2 linked regions of the Tamandua tetradactyla genome follow. The protein of the gene in region 1 interacts with the protein of each later gene in a pairwise test. Links are inferred from orthologs where the notes say so. Each region holds a gene or a part of one and is shown on either strand. Other genes may lie near its edges.

Evidence for each region.
Region 2: the proteins of RTN4 (region 1) and SNX15 interact in binary tests that used the Homo sapiens proteins (3 or more experiments, as listed by UniProt). The two-hybrid records come from large-scale screens. The link is inferred for Tamandua tetradactyla from reciprocal best matches to the Homo sapiens genes RTN4 and SNX15.

Annotation. Positions count from the first base shown.
Region 1 is NC_135343.1:27,393,884-27,401,045, forward strand, and holds the start of RTN4 (reticulon-4), read right to left. Parts: upstream 3,063-7,162; 5' UTR 2,778-3,062; coding exon 2,228-2,777; intron 1-2,227. UniProt on the Homo sapiens protein: Required to induce the formation and stabilization of endoplasmic reticulum (ER) tubules. They regulate membrane morphogenesis in the ER by promoting tubular ER production.
Region 2 is NC_135335.1:9,539,760-9,547,915, forward strand, and holds the start of SNX15 (sorting nexin-15), read right to left. Parts: upstream 3,042-8,156; 5' UTR 2,907-3,041; coding exon 2,808-2,906; intron 2,364-2,807; exon of another isoform or gene 2,175-2,363; coding exon of another isoform or gene 2,169-2,174; intron 1-2,168. UniProt on the Homo sapiens protein: May be involved in several stages of intracellular trafficking. Overexpression of SNX15 disrupts the normal trafficking of proteins from the plasma membrane to recycling endosomes or the TGN.

The sequences.
Region 1 (7,162 bases):
CTTAAAGGCCTTTGCCCCAGGAGATGCTTGGAACATTTTTGATCTCCACAGCTCAAGTTCACTCCTCAAAAAGGCTTTTCTCAATGTCAGCCTACCTAAAAAAGCTCCCACACATCTACATGATGCTCCATCACCCTGATTACTTTTTTCATAGCACTTAACACTATTCTGAGTTTCTTATTTGTATGCTTATTATCTGTAACCCAATATGGGAGTGCAAGTGTCTAAAGTTTATTGCCAACCTCAAGAACCTAGAACAGTGTTTCTTTCTTAGGAAGTAATCAATAATTTGCTGAATGAACCCACAAACTGTTAAGAAATCTGGACTCAAAGAAATGGGTTTAATTATCCATGACCAAAATTGTAATGTTCCTGCATTTACTAAAGGAACAAAAAGTTTCCAAAGAAATATCATCGATAAAGAATTAGGAACTATGTAGAAACAGAGTTCCTGAACAGGCAATATTCTCTCCTCTATCTTCTAAATTTAGGATTCCAACAGTCAAGATTCCAAGAGAATGCTGTCACCTCCTATATTCCCACTATTCAAAGAACAGAATTCTTAGTTCCCAAGCAGGAATCCAAAATAACAAGTTAACATGCTTTTAAGTTTCCTTTCCGCAAATTTCTTATAATTTTATATTTTTCTACTTCACCTTACTTTCCCTCATAGATATCTTTGTCATACAGAAAAAAGAATGGTTGAGTTACTCATCTTCTAAGACCTTTAGTGTACTGATGAATGTTTTGAGTAGTGCTTTGGGCTATTGTCAATATCAAAATGTTGTTACGTTATTCAAAAGCATCATCACAATCGGTTTATTTCCGCTTTGTGGAACAGGAGTGAAATGAAGGAAAAAAAAAAAAACTACTGTGTGATCTGACTGATTTTCTTTTTCAAGAAAATGAACCACCCCTAAAATTCTAGAAGGCTATGGACATTTCTCAACAGGCTACCTGATCCCTGATCTATAAAGAAAGGTCCTACTGCTAGTGCAATCTATCCCCCAAAGCAAAAAGTTACTCATGAATGCATCTAATCAATTTCTCTATCACTAACAAACTTAATTTTTTCCTTTCACACTAATTTTCTAAGATGAAGAATGTAATAAAACAATGTTCCCCCAAATAAAAATAACATAAAATCAGCTAGTCATGCGAATTAAAGATTTGAAAACCATTTTTTCAAACCCTAGATTTGTGTTTGTCAGCCTAAAACATTTAACTTCTAAGAAATAGTATTTCTAACCAACTTATGAAAATGTCGGTCTCAATACATTTCATTAGGTCTCACGGTAAATCTGCCACAAGGTCAACGGGCTGATTCCCAGCAAGGAATCCACAGGTTTCCTCTTTCTTAAGAATGTCAACCATTTTGCCTTTCCTTTTTTTCGCCAAGATTCAGTTCAGGTGCATCGAGAAGTTGAACCCGTCCACAGTAACAGTTAATTCCTGTAACCCTGCAGTTGAGACCTTGTCAGAACTGTGCCTCCATAGAACCCAATGCTCAGATCCCCTTTCCCTGGCTTGGTTTTTGGTTTGGCTTTGTGGGGAGTCGCCACACCACAACCTGGGGTGGGCGGTGGCAGGACTCAGCCAGAATTCTCTCTCCTTTCCCATTCTCCACACGCCACACCACTGGAGGCGCTCTCCCTTCACTGCGGCTGGGTCAATGTGGACGTTTTCCAGTGGGCCAGCTCCCCACAAGCGCAAGAGGGGGAGGGGTAAAGCGTAAGGGGGCCACCCACGCCGGGAAGGGGTAGGGAGGGGTCCAGGGCTGAACTACAATAGACAGGCAGCGAAAGCTGCACCTTTTCCTAGAGGAGCAACCCAGACGGGTGGACAAGAGCCCCTCCCAGAAGCTTGGGGCGCCAAGGCCTGCCCAACCTTACCCTGAAACCAAGCCAGCCCAACGAACTCACAACCCTTGTTGCTCGACACACACCCAGCTCCAACGATGGGTGGGGGCCCAAGCCCCGGGATGCAGTGAAATGGGGACCAGAGGGAAGAACATCGGGAGCCCGCGGGGTGCACGTGGTTCCCCGAAACCAAGACAAACCAAATAGAACAAGCCCGGGCTTCCTCCGCCATCCCACCCTTCTTCCCGCGCCTCCCGGGGGAGAGAGGGCGCCTTCACCCAGACCTCGGCAGACAAAGCCCCCTCAGGGCTCAGAGGAGCGGCACACAAAAGAGGGAGGGGCGCGAGGCTGGAGGGCGCGGCACTCACCCACGGAGCCCGAGGAGCTCCTGCGCTTGGGCGCGGCCGGCGTGGAGGGGGGCGCGGCGGGGGCCACGGCGGGAGGGGTCCACGCGGGCTCGGCCTCGGGGCTCAGGGCGGTTGGGGGAGGAGGGGGAGGCCGGGCGGGGGGCTCGTCGTCCTCGGGCAGCTTGGAGGGCGAAGCTGCGGCAGCGGTGGGCGGGGACGGCGCGGGCACTGTGGACCGCGCGGGGCTCGGGTCCCAGGACGGCTGCCGCTCCGGGGCGGCGAGGGGCGCTGCCGGTAGGGGTCCCCGGGGCGCCGGGGGCACGAAGTCATTTCCGATGTCAAGCAGGGGAGCGGGAGCTGCGGGCGCTGGAGCTGCAGACAGCGTGGCGGCGGGCTTCCTCTCCAGCACCTCCAGCTCCTCGAGGTCCTCGTCCTCGTCCTCTTCTTCCTCCTCCTCCTCTTCCTCCTCGTCCTCGGGCTCCGTCACGAACTGGTACTTGAACTGGGGCTGAGGCCGCGGCGGGCTGTCCGCGGACGAGGAGACCAAAGGCGACTGGTCCAGGTCTTCCATGGCTGGCGGACCGGGGATGCTGCTGCAGCTGCCGCGGCGCGGGCCGCTTCTCTTTCACAGCTGCGGGCGGTTGTGGGGGTTGGGAAGGACTGAGGGGCTGGGCCGGCCGAGCCGAGGGACCTGCAGTGGCGACGGCTCCCGGAACAATGAGACTGCTCCTCCTGCCTCCGCGCCCGTGATGCGCCACCCACCCCGTCCCCTCTCGCAGCCGCCGCCGCCCAGATGAACGAAGGAGAGAGGCCAGCAGACTCTCCGCCCAGTTTGGCGTGACTCACCTCCCTGGAGGGGAGAAGCAGGGTCTGGCGCGGGAGGAAGGGAGCCAATCGGCTCCGGGATGGAGAAGATGGCAACCAGCCGGGCCAACGGAAAGGGAAAGTGCTGGGAGGAGGCGGGGCTTGTTGCGCTTCCTTGCCCTTACCGGCTGGGGTTGGGTTCGGTGGGCGGGATTTGGGACTGTGAGCCTCGCCCCTCACCTTGGGTTATTGTGGGTCCGGGTGGGGTCTTGGCCTTGCAGGGCAGTTCGAGGTCTTGTTTGTCGTTAGAGTAGAGCGAAGGGGAAAGGGCTGCGGACCCGGAGGGGTTGGAGAGGTTCCTGGCGCGCCACCGGAAGGGCGTTATCGGGGAAAGGGGGAGGGGGAAGTGGAAACTTTCCTGCCAGGAAAGAAAAACCCAGAATGGGGTATTAACTAACGGGATGGTGAAGTAGGCCCTCATAATTTAAATATACATTTTTAAAGATTTTGAAATAAAAGATTATACTTTTTTAAACCCAAATTCCCAAGCCACCTAAATTTTTTTTTTTTTTTTTTTTTTTTTTTTTAGTTTTAAGACCACTCCCAGTCTAAACTGCAGAGGTTGGCATGAGGTAAGCCAACAGCTGAGGACGGTCTGGAGCTCCGGGAACCACCATTTGAAATTGCCGTTCCTGTCCTTCCAAGAGGGTTTTAGGCTCTGCTGCTTGACTCTCACATGATGGAAGGATGAGTCACCCTAAGAGAGAGGAGAGGAGGAAAGTGGACACAGAAAAATGCCTCGGAAGGCAAATTTGGTTCACATTACATTTTCAGTCACCTTAGGCTCATGAGTCAACATTTCAGATGATGCAGGCGTTTCTGGGAGTCAGAAAGCCCCAGAGTCATTCGTTTGTTAAGCGGGAATGATCGTGATCCCCCAGGTCACTTTTTCCAAAACTGGAGAGTTTAAAGAAAGTAGTTGCAGAACACAAGAGTCATCAGCCAGAGATCTAGAGAGCCCTTTGAACTTTCTGAGGTGCCCACTCTGTTAGGCCGTGGAGAGGAAGATCACCTGCTTTCAAGTTGCTTACAGTGAGGTAGTTGCAGCTCTGTCCAAAATTCAGTTGCTGGCTACATGCACCTATTGAGCACTTGGAATGTGGCTAGTCAGAATTGAGATGTGTTGTAAGTGTAATGTGCACACTGAAATTCCAAGAATGAGTACCAAACAAAAAGAATGGAAAACGTCTCACAAATTTATGTAAGGTTACCTGTCGAAACTGATATTTTTGATATATTGGGATAAGTAAAATATCGATTTCACTTGTTTCTTTTTACTTTTTTAATACAGATACTAGAAAATTTTAAATGCACATGGCTCATTTTTTTTTGGACAGCTCTAGAGTAATAATGGCAATCACTGGTTATTTAAACAAATTCTTAACTCCAGCTAATTAATTTTATCCTAGGCTAAATTGGGGTATTGAAAAGGACAAGTAGAACAGGATTTCCTTGTCATTTAATTATCAATGGCACATGCAAGACTTAGCACATTGTTCTACAAAGATAAACTGGATCTATTTCTACAGGCTGATTGTGAATTGTTTTGAGCTTGTTTGTTTTTGCTTTTTTGAAGGGACTAGGAAGAGTAGGCTTATTTTGCTGGTAAATGAATGCCAAATTAGAAATTTTAAACAAAACGGACTCATGTGATAATGACTAAAATACAACTCTAAAATATTAACGTTTCAAGTGTTTGTCAGAAATTATCTAAAATGTACATGATTTTCAACTAAATGTATACACATACAAAAACATACTATTTTTATGCTATGAACTTTTTCTAAATTAAGCTATTAGCATTTTATTCGTTCCCATACTGCTTTTCCTGCTATGTTTGTTCTGGAACACATTAATGGGAAACTTCAAAGGATTTCCATATGTCATCTGTAAGTTGCTTATATGATATATCTTCATTCAGATGAGCTCGGTACCATATCTGTACCTACTAAAACAGTCTCAAAGGGATATTCTTAATTTATTAAAATTTGCAGGTATGAATGTAATATATATTACAGAAATGTGATAGCTTTATGACTTTAATAGCAGTGAATATTGGGACAATAATATAAACATTCTTCTGATGCAGAAGAAAGACTAAAATTATCTTATTCATCTCAATGACCTCTAAAATATTAAGCATTTGATGGTTAAATAACAGGAGTTTACCCAGTGTTCATAAAATGGTTAACAAAACATAAAGAAAGGAGAATATGACTGCTATACCAAAATTAAAGGTATAGTTAGTTACAAGAAAGTTCTAGTGGGCGTTTAGGATAGTTAAGAAAAGAATACAAATTCTAGATCATATTAGTGGTTTAAAAATAATTATTCAGCAAATTATCTTTGGAATCATTTTGCCAGGAGTAGCTTAATTTTCCAAATACCCACTGGTTAGTAACTGTTCTGTCTTAGAACACTGCACAAGATCCATTCAGCCTGGTAGAATCATAGATCTCAGAGATGGGAGGACTCTGGGAAGTCAGTTTATCTAATCTCTCCCATTACAAGAATTCCCTGCAGAGTTTTTTAAAAGGTGGTCATCTGTAGATTAAAAGTGGCTGCAATCTCTTTGCAGCAACTGTCATCAAGAGGGGTCTTCTATTTCCCTACTCCTCTGAGTTGGCTTTGTGACTTGCTTGACAAATAAAATGCCCTGGGAGTGAGTTCCATGTCTAACAGAAAGAGGTATCACAGCTTCCTCTTTAGCCCTCTTGGAATGCTGAGGCCCTGTGAAAGAGCCAGGGCTATATATTCTGGAAGATGAGAGACCAGTGGAGAGGCAGGCCTGCTATCCTAACCATTTAGATGGTGGCCCAGAAATATGAATGAGGCCATCTCAGACTCTGCAGCCAACCCACACTATCATGAAAAACAATGAATCATTGTTTTAAACTACTACCTTTTGGGGTGGTTACTTATACATCAAAAGGTACTTGAAACATCCATTTTGGGCTTCATTTATGCTTGATTCATTCAGACAAGATAGTTATTGGGTGTTTATTATGTGTCAGGCACTGTTCGAAGCTCTGGGGATACACCACTGAAGAAAACAGACACAAAGATGCTTGAACATTTTCAGTAAAGGGAGACTCACTACCTAGAGAAATAGCCCATTCATTCCATTTCTAAAATATTTTACTTCACAGAAAATGTTGAATTGATACCTAATCTGGTATACATAGAACAGATTAATTGTTCTTATATCATGTATACCCCTCTACATGAGTTAAAAGGCATAGAATGGATGTATCTCATCTTTACATGTGGGGTATGAACTTCAGAGTGAATGCAGCAATCATAGAAGAAAGATGGGACTTGAATGCCAGCAAACCTGTTTCGACAACTGTGAACCATAGCTTTTTTTTTTTTTTTTTTTTTTTTTTTTTTTTTTAAAGGAAAGACAGAGAGAAGGAAGGAAGGAAGGAAGAAAGGGAAACATCTTTAAAGACAGAGAGAAGGAAGGAAGGATAGAAGGAAGGAAGGAAGGAAGAAAGGGAAACATTTTTTCTTGTTTTATTGTATTCTGTTTCTCCGTTTTTGTTACATGGGCTGGGGCCGGGAATCGAACCGAGGTCCTCCGGCATAGCAGGCAAGCACTTTGCCCGCTGAGCCACCGCGGCCCGCCCGAACCATAGCTTTTTCACCTAGAAGATGAGAGACCATGTGGAGAGGCAAGGCTGCTATTCTAACCATTTAGCTGAGGGCCCAGAAATATGAGTGAGGCCATCTCAGACTCTGCAGCCAACCCACACTATCATGAAAAACAATGAATCATTGTTCTAAACTACTACCTTTTGGGGTGATAAGAAATGGAAAAAAGTGAAGTTGTAGTGGGATACTCACATGGAAAAATAACTAAATGTGACCCCCCCCCATACAGCATACAATTAATAATTAAAGTTTTAGTGGCCGAGAGATTTCAAATAGATTCGAGAGGTCATTCTGGAGGTTACTGTTATACAAGCTTCAGCCAGATATTACGAATTGTCACAGTATGCCAAGCCCCAACCATCAGTATTCCTGAAAACCCTAAAGATTACCTTGGGATTTATCTAAGACTCTATAAACATTTTACCTAGTAAGTTTCTT
Region 2 (8,156 bases), on another chromosome or scaffold:
GCTCAGATGTGGCCTCTCTCTCCAGCCAACACAACAAGCAAACTCACCACCCTCCCCCTGTCTACGTGGGACATGACTCCCAGTGGTATGGGCCTTCCTGGCAACGTGGGACAGAAATCCCAGAATGAGCTGAGACCCAGCATCAAGGGATTGAGAAAACCTTCTCGACCAAAAGGGGGAAGAGTGAAATGAGGCAAAGTGTCCATGGCTGAGAGATTCCAAACAGAGTCGAGAGGTTATCCTGGAGATTATTCTTGTGCATCAAGTAGGTATCATCTTGTTATTCAAGATGTAATGGAGAGGCTAGAGGGAACTGCCTGAAAATGTGGAGCTGTGTTCCAGTAGCCATGTTTCTTGATGATGACTGAATAATGATATAGCTTTCACAATATGATTGTGTGATTGTGAAAACCTTGTGTCTGATGCTCCTTTTATCTACCTTGTCAACAGATGAGTAGAACATATGGAATAAAAATAAATAATAGGGGGAACAAATGTTAAAATAAATTTAGTTTGAAATGCTAGTGATAAATGAAAGCGAGGGGTAAGGGATATGGTATGTACAATCTTTTTTTTTCTCTGTTATCGTTTTATTTCTTTTTCTGTTGTCTTTTTCTTTCTCTGAACTGATGCAAATGTTCTAAGAAATGATGAATATGCAACTATGTGATGATATTGAGAATTACTGATTACATATGGAGAACGGAATGATATGTTAATGATGTTTTTGTTTGTTTGTTCTTAATTTTTTAAATAAATAAATAAATAAAAAACCTGGCCTTTGTCTTTGATGATAGAGACTCACCTAAACTATTTTGGGTTAAAGTAACTATATTTAAAAACCATTAAAGAATATATACCTTTCAAAGGACTCATATCCAGAATATATAAAGAAGTCCTACAAATCAATATTTAAAAGACAAAAACAAAAAGTCAACTTTTTAAAAGTGAACAAAATACCTGAACAGGCACCATCCACAAAATACAATATTTGAATAGCCAATAAGATTGTGAAAATACACTCATTATTCATCAGAGATATGCTCAAATTAATACTCCAATGAGATATTACTCAGGAATAGCTTGAATTTAAAGATACTGAGTATAAAATGGTACAACTACTTTGGAAAACTGGTGGTTTCTAAGAAAGCTACACGTATGTCTGGCCTACGACCCAGCAATTCCACTCCTAAGCATCTACAAGGGCAAATGAGTGTATATGTCCCCCAAAAGATCTGTACTCAACTTTATTCATAATACCTAAAACATTTTTAGAAACTAAATGTTCAACAGCAGAAAAAAAAGAAAAGAAAAACATGGTATATTCATACGAAAAGACCACTAAGCAGCCATTTAACAAAAACAAAAACTTCTTAAAACATGCAATAATATGGACAAATTCCAAAAACATCAATAGAGTGAGAAAGTCAGGCACAAAAGACGACTTGTTAATTGAGTCACATTCATCTGAGGTTCAAGAACTCGCAAAAGTAATCTATGGTAACAGAAGTCAGAACCACAGGGGTTACCTCTTGGGGAGGGGGGCTGCTGATGAGAGAAGGGTACAGGATTTTAATGGGGTGATGGTTTTTGCACTGATGCAGACATACGTAAAAATGTATCGAGCTGTACACTTAAGATCTGGGCATATTCGTTTACGTAAATTATGTCTCAATTTTAAAAATTTAAAAATCGAAACACAATAATAATTTCATTGAGGTACACCAGCAAGAAACTAGCTGCAAAGGTTCATATGAAGAAGGTTCATATTAAGTAGGAAAAAAATCAAAGTTGTATGTTACTTGCTCTGAAAGTCCAACAAAAAGACAAAAAAAAGTGACAGTCCATGACACAACCTTCCCAACCCCCAATCCATTCTTCTAAGTATCTACCTAAAATGACTACCTAGAATGACCACTTGCATTTTTTAAAGCATGGACAAGATTATAAGATATGGGAACAGCAAAAATAAACAAGGAGGAAGATTCTGCCTTTGGATTGCTTTGGTCGTGTCTTTATGGTTTTACTCCACTTTAACAGTTAATTAACGAATGCACCAGTTTAATAATCACCCAGTTCAAAATTCTAAAGGTACAAAAATATATACAGTGAAAAATCTCCTAACTACTATCAACCTCCTTCTTCTCCTAAAAGGTCTCAATTGTTACCTGCATCCTTTTAGAAATATTCTGTTATACTGTTTCCTTCATGTTTTCTTCTACCGTCTCTCTACATGCTTATAATATTCTTGCTTCGAATAATGAACTTCGGTCTTTACTGACTTCCTGCTATGACCGTTGAAGAAAGACTTATTCCTTAAATCCCTTTTAACTGTATGAGTTTTGTTAAACCACAAACAAGGCTTATTAATAAAAAGAGTTAAACTCTTTAAAAGGCTTTTAAGTAAAATAAATAAATAAATAAATACAAATGAAAACCTATTCTAAGAGATCGGAGAACTAGCTAATCTTTGCGTTAAGACAGAGTTTTCATGTTAATTCAGATAAATTCCCAGCCCGACACCCGTACACCACGCGTTGGGCGTGGCCACCCACACCTCGCCGGACTGGGAACTGCGGGCCACGCCCTTTTAAAAAGGGCAGCGCCCTCCCAGGTCCCCGCCTCCTACACCACCCCCCACCCCGTGGTTAAAAAAGTAAAGGATGGCTCTTGCCGCAAACCCTCCTTAAAGGGGAAATACACTTCAGTCGTCTGAAAAGGGAGCCGTCTGCAGCTCCACGCCTTAAGGTAAAACACGGGCCCACTCTTGTTAAAGTGGTAAAGCTCCCCGCTGGGCCCCACCTCACCTGCGCGGTCACTTTGTACTCGGTGTAGCCTTTGGGGTGGGTCCGGGGGTCGGAGACTGAGTAGTGCCGCAGGAAGTCGTCCTTCGCCTGGCGGGACATGGCAGCCGAGCTGGAGCGGAGTTCACCGCCGACCTCCGCCTCCTCTACGGCGCCCCCTCCCCTCCGGGGCGGTCTCTGCCCGCCGCCGCCTCTCCCGGGCCTGCGCCCTTCAGCCTCGGGCCTAGGGAGCTGGTCGCAAGTGACAGTTCTGCTCCGGTACCGGGCGCGCGGCCAAGGGAGCGTCTGAAAAGTTATCGGTCATTGAAGGAGCGTAAACTTGCGTAATTTGACAATAAGGATTGGGGAGGTTCTCTGATCCGCGCTCTCTGCTTAGTGATCGAGCCCCTCCTAGGGGGCGTGAACCCTCATCACCCACCCCTAAATGGCTTCTCCGCTTCCCAGTTCCCTTCCTTCATCGGTTCACTTTCACTGTGTCTAGATTGTGCCAAACATAACCAAATTATTCTTCTGCTTCCCTCTACAAAATTCGCTAATCCACCTTCTCTGCAAGGTGGGGGAAGCAAAGAGAATACGTTCACAATAGAACCTTCTTTGTTGGCTTGCCCACCATTCACCCCCACCTCCTTTGGTTAGTACCATGACACCCAATCTTTGTGTAAGATACATAGGCCTCCAGCCTCCTCCCCCAGAACCCAAAGATGCCAGCACCTTATCTTGCCCCAGACAGCACTTGCTACCTGTCCTGGGGGGCATGGCTGTGGTCACCCCGTGTCCTGAGGTTTGAATTTTGTGAGTCAGAGCACAGCACCCTGGCAAGGGGATCACTGGTTTCTGGAGAAGTTCCAGCTGTGGACCTGGCTGCACAGCCTCTGGAACACTCTGCTTCCCTTGCCTGGGCTCCTGACCCGCACTGGGAGCTCCTTCCTGCAAAAGGGTGCTGGAATCTGCGTCTGTGTCTGGCTTTCAAGGACCCCGATTAGATGTCCCTACCCACCCAGTGAGGTTTAAATGCCATAGTTGGGTGACACCCTCAAAGAAGAGCTGCTCTCCTTGCTGCTGGAAAGCAGCCTCCAGAAAGAAACACAGAACTCAGGCAGAAAGCTTCCAGGGTGAGAACAAGCCGCAAAAATCAAGGTGTAGATGCTGAGCTGCAACCTGGACAACTACTTCCGTCCATGAGACAAAGTTGGACTTAAAGAGAGTCCTGAGAAACTGTGATCCTGCCTTATACCCTTTTGAGGTTCCACGAGAATATGGAAGAGTTTTAAATGCTACCAAACTAGAATGGGTATTTGCAGAAACATTTCTTGCCTGCCTGGATGGTCACTGAGATGGAATCGGTTGTTTGGCAAAGCATCCAAAGAGTCTGGCTGTTTCTGGGGCATGTGATGGAGAGGTTAGAATTTGGAACTTGGCTCAACGAAAATGTATCTGTATAGTACAAGTGCACGAAGGTTTCGTACGAGGAATATGTGCTCGCTTTTGTGGGATTTCTTTTTTCGCTATTGGTGATGACAAAACTGTGATGCACTGGCAAGTGGATGGCATGGGCTGTGGAGAAGAGGAGGAGCTACTGAATACAGTGTTAGAAAAGATAATGTATACCGGAATTGATCATCACTGGAAAGAAGCTGGTTTTGCCGCATGATGAAACCCAGTGGACATTTGGGATGAACAAAGAACCAATCCTATATATCCAATGGTCTGGGGATGTGACAGTATAAGTAGTCTTAAATTTAACCCAGTTGAGACATTTCTCTTGGGAAGTTGTGCTTCTGGCAGAAATATAGGACTATATGAGGCAAGCCACTCTTCTGAAAAAGGTTGTCTGAGATATGAAAACAAGTACAATCTGTTGGAACCCTATGGAGGCTTTCATTTTTACTGCAGCTAATGAAGATTACAATTTATATACTTTCGATATGCAGGCACTTGACATGCCTGTAATGGTACATAAGGACCAGATATTTGCAGTGCTTGATGTGGATTACTCTCAGTTCTAGTTTGCTAGCTGCTGGAACGCAATATACCAGAAATGGAACTGCTTCTAAAAGGGGGAATTTATTAAGTTGCAAGTGTACATGTTCTAAGGCTGTGAAAATGTCCCAGTTAAAGCAAGAAATGTCCAAATTAACAAGAGGTTACCTTCACTCAAGAAAGGCTGATGACGTTCAGGGTTTCTCTTTAACTGGAAAGGCACATGGCCAACATGGCAACGTCTACGAGCTTTCTTTCCAGGCTTCTTGTTTCATGAAGCTCCCCCAGGGGCATTTTCCCTCTTCATCTCCAAAGGTCTTTGGCTGTGTGGGCTCTCGTGGTTCTCATGGCTCTGAAGCTTTTTTTCCAAAGTGTTTCCTCTTTTAAAGGATTCCATAAACGAATCGAGCCCCACCTGGAATGGGTGGAGTCACATCTCCTTCTCATCAAAGGTTAACACCCACAATTGGTTGAATCACATCTCCGTGGAGATAATGTAATCACGTTTCCAACTAACAGTGCTGAATAGGGCTTAAAAGAGAGCTGCCTCCATAAGATTGGGCAAGGCTTTTCTAGGGTACATAAGCCTTTCAAACCAGCACATTCTTCTACTGGGAAAGAGTTTGTGTCTGCTCGCTTTGATAAATCTATTCGAGGTGGGGAAGTTTATCGCACAAAGCGAATGCAGCATGTTATCTGCATAAAATGAACTTCCGACAGCAAGTACATTATGTGTGCACCTGAAGAAATGAACATTCCTCCGTGGAAAGCGTCTGCAAAGTTGGGTGTGCTGATATCACGAGAAAAAGCAGCCAAGGATTATAATCAGAAATTGAAGGAGAAATTTCAACGTCATTCTCAGATAAGACATATAGCTCGTCACCGACAGCTACCAAAATCTAACTCCAGCCAGATTGTGAAAGAAGCTCCTGGAGGAAAGGCAGTGAATCGTCACAAATATAGCAAGCCTGGGTCTGTGCCAATTGTGTCAAAGAAACACATAGTGGCAATTGTGAAATAATATTTGATTTTCCTCCCAATCCTAATGTATAATTATTTGTTAGATATGGGTGTGTAAACTCTAGAAATAAAGGTACTGGCTCCAGTTTGATATCAGACATTTCAGTTATATGTGCAGAACTTTATCATTGCTCATTTTAGCTACCCTGAAAAACTATCCTTTAAAGTGACCTGTTGTAACCTACACAATGGGAGACAATATTTGGAAATGACATATCAGATAAAGATCTAGTATCCAGAATTTATAAAGAGATTGTTCAACTCAACAACAAAAAGACAGCAAATCCAATTACAAAATGGGAAAAAGACTTGAACAGACACTTCTCAGAAGAGGAAATACAAATGGCCAAAAGGCACATGAAGAGATGCTCAATGTCCCTGGCCATTAGAGAAATGCAAATCAAAACCACAATGAGATCTCATCCCACACCCACCAGAATGGCCATTATCAACAAAACAGAAAATGACAAATGCTGGAGAGGATGTGGAGAAAGAGGCACACTTATCCACTGTTGGTGGGAATGTCAAATGGTGCAACCACTGTGGAAGGCAGTTTGGCGGTTCCTCAAAAAGCTGAATATAGAATTGCCATATGACCCAGCAATACCATTGCTAGGTATCTACTCAAAGGACTTAAGGGCAAAGACACAAACGGACATTTGCACACCAATGTTTATAGCAGCGTTATTTACAATTGCAAAGAGATGGAAACAGCCAAAATGTCCATCAACAGACGAGTGGCTAAACAAACTGTGGTATATATATACGATGGAATATTATGCAGCTTTAAGACAGAATAAACTTATGAAGTATGTAACAATATGGATGGACCTTGAGAACATTATGCTGAGTGAGACTAGCCGAAAACTAAAGGACAAATACTGTATGGTCTCACTGATAGGAACTAACATTAGTGAATAAATTTGGAATATTTTGTTGGTACCAGAGACCATCAGGAGATAGAAATAGGGTAAGATATTGGGTAATTGGAGCTGGATTGAATGGTATAATCTAGGAATGCCTAGAGTGTATAATAATACTGACTAAATGCACATATTTTAAAAATGTTTTTGCAAGAGGAAGAACAAAGGAATGTTATTATTGCAGGGTACTGAAAATAGATGGTAATTAATATTTTAAAAGGTCACCGTATGTGTGAGACTAAAGCAAAAAATGTTTGTTACAAAATTTATATTTTGACTAGTGCATTTCCTAATATAACTTATGTAGATAGTTTGATTGAACACCATAAGAACTTGGAATCTCAGGTAGGACATGAGATTTTGTTGGTTTGTCCAGAGTGATGCCCCGATGAATCCCAGAGTGATTTGATCAGTGAGTGGAAAAGTATTTGCAAAGCCCCCTTCGGGGAATGGTGAGAACGAGGAGAAATTCAACTTCCCCAAGTTGAATTCTTGATATTCTCACAAGCAGTGTGGACAACCAAAGCTATAGGCTGAGCCCCCAGTCTTGGGGTTCGTTCATATGAAACTTAACCCCACAAAGGATAGGTCAAGTCTACTTAAAATTTAGGCCTAAGAGTCACCCCTAAGAGAGCCTCTTTTGTTGCTCAGATGTGGCCTCTCTCTCCAGCCAACACAACAAGCAAACTCACCACCCTCCCCCTGTCTACGTGGGACATGACTCCCAAGGGTGTGGACCTTCCTGGCAATGTGGGACAGAAATCCTAGAATGAGCTGAGACTCAGCATCAAGGGATTGAGAAAAACCCTAGAATGAGCGGAGATTTAGCATCAAGGGATTGAGAAAACCTTCTCCACCAAAAGGGGGACGAGTGAAATAAGACAAAGTGTCAATGGCTGAGAGATTCCAAACAGAGTCAAGAGGTTGTCCTGGAGGTTCTTCTTACACATTAAGTAGATATCACTTTGTTATACAAGATGTAATGGAGAGGCTGGAGGGAACTACCTGAAAGTGTAGAGCTGTATTCCAGTAGCCATGTTTCTCTGGATGAGTGAATAATGATGTAACTGTCACAATGTGACTGTGTGATTGTGAAAACCTTGTGTCTGATGCCTCTTTTATCTACCTTGTCAAGAAACAAGTACAACACATGGAATAAAAATAAATAATAGGGGGAACAAATGTTAAAATAAATTTAGTTTGAAATGCTAGTGATAAATGAAAGTGAGGGGTAAGGGGTATGGTATGTATAATCTTTTTTTTCTGTTATTGTTTTATTTTTTTTCTGTTGTCTTTTTATTTCTTTTTCTGAATTGATGCAAATGTTCTAAGAAATGATGAATATGCAACTATGTGATGATATTGGAATTACTGAATATATATGTAGAAAAGAATTATATGTTAATGTTTAATGTTTTTGTTTGTTCTT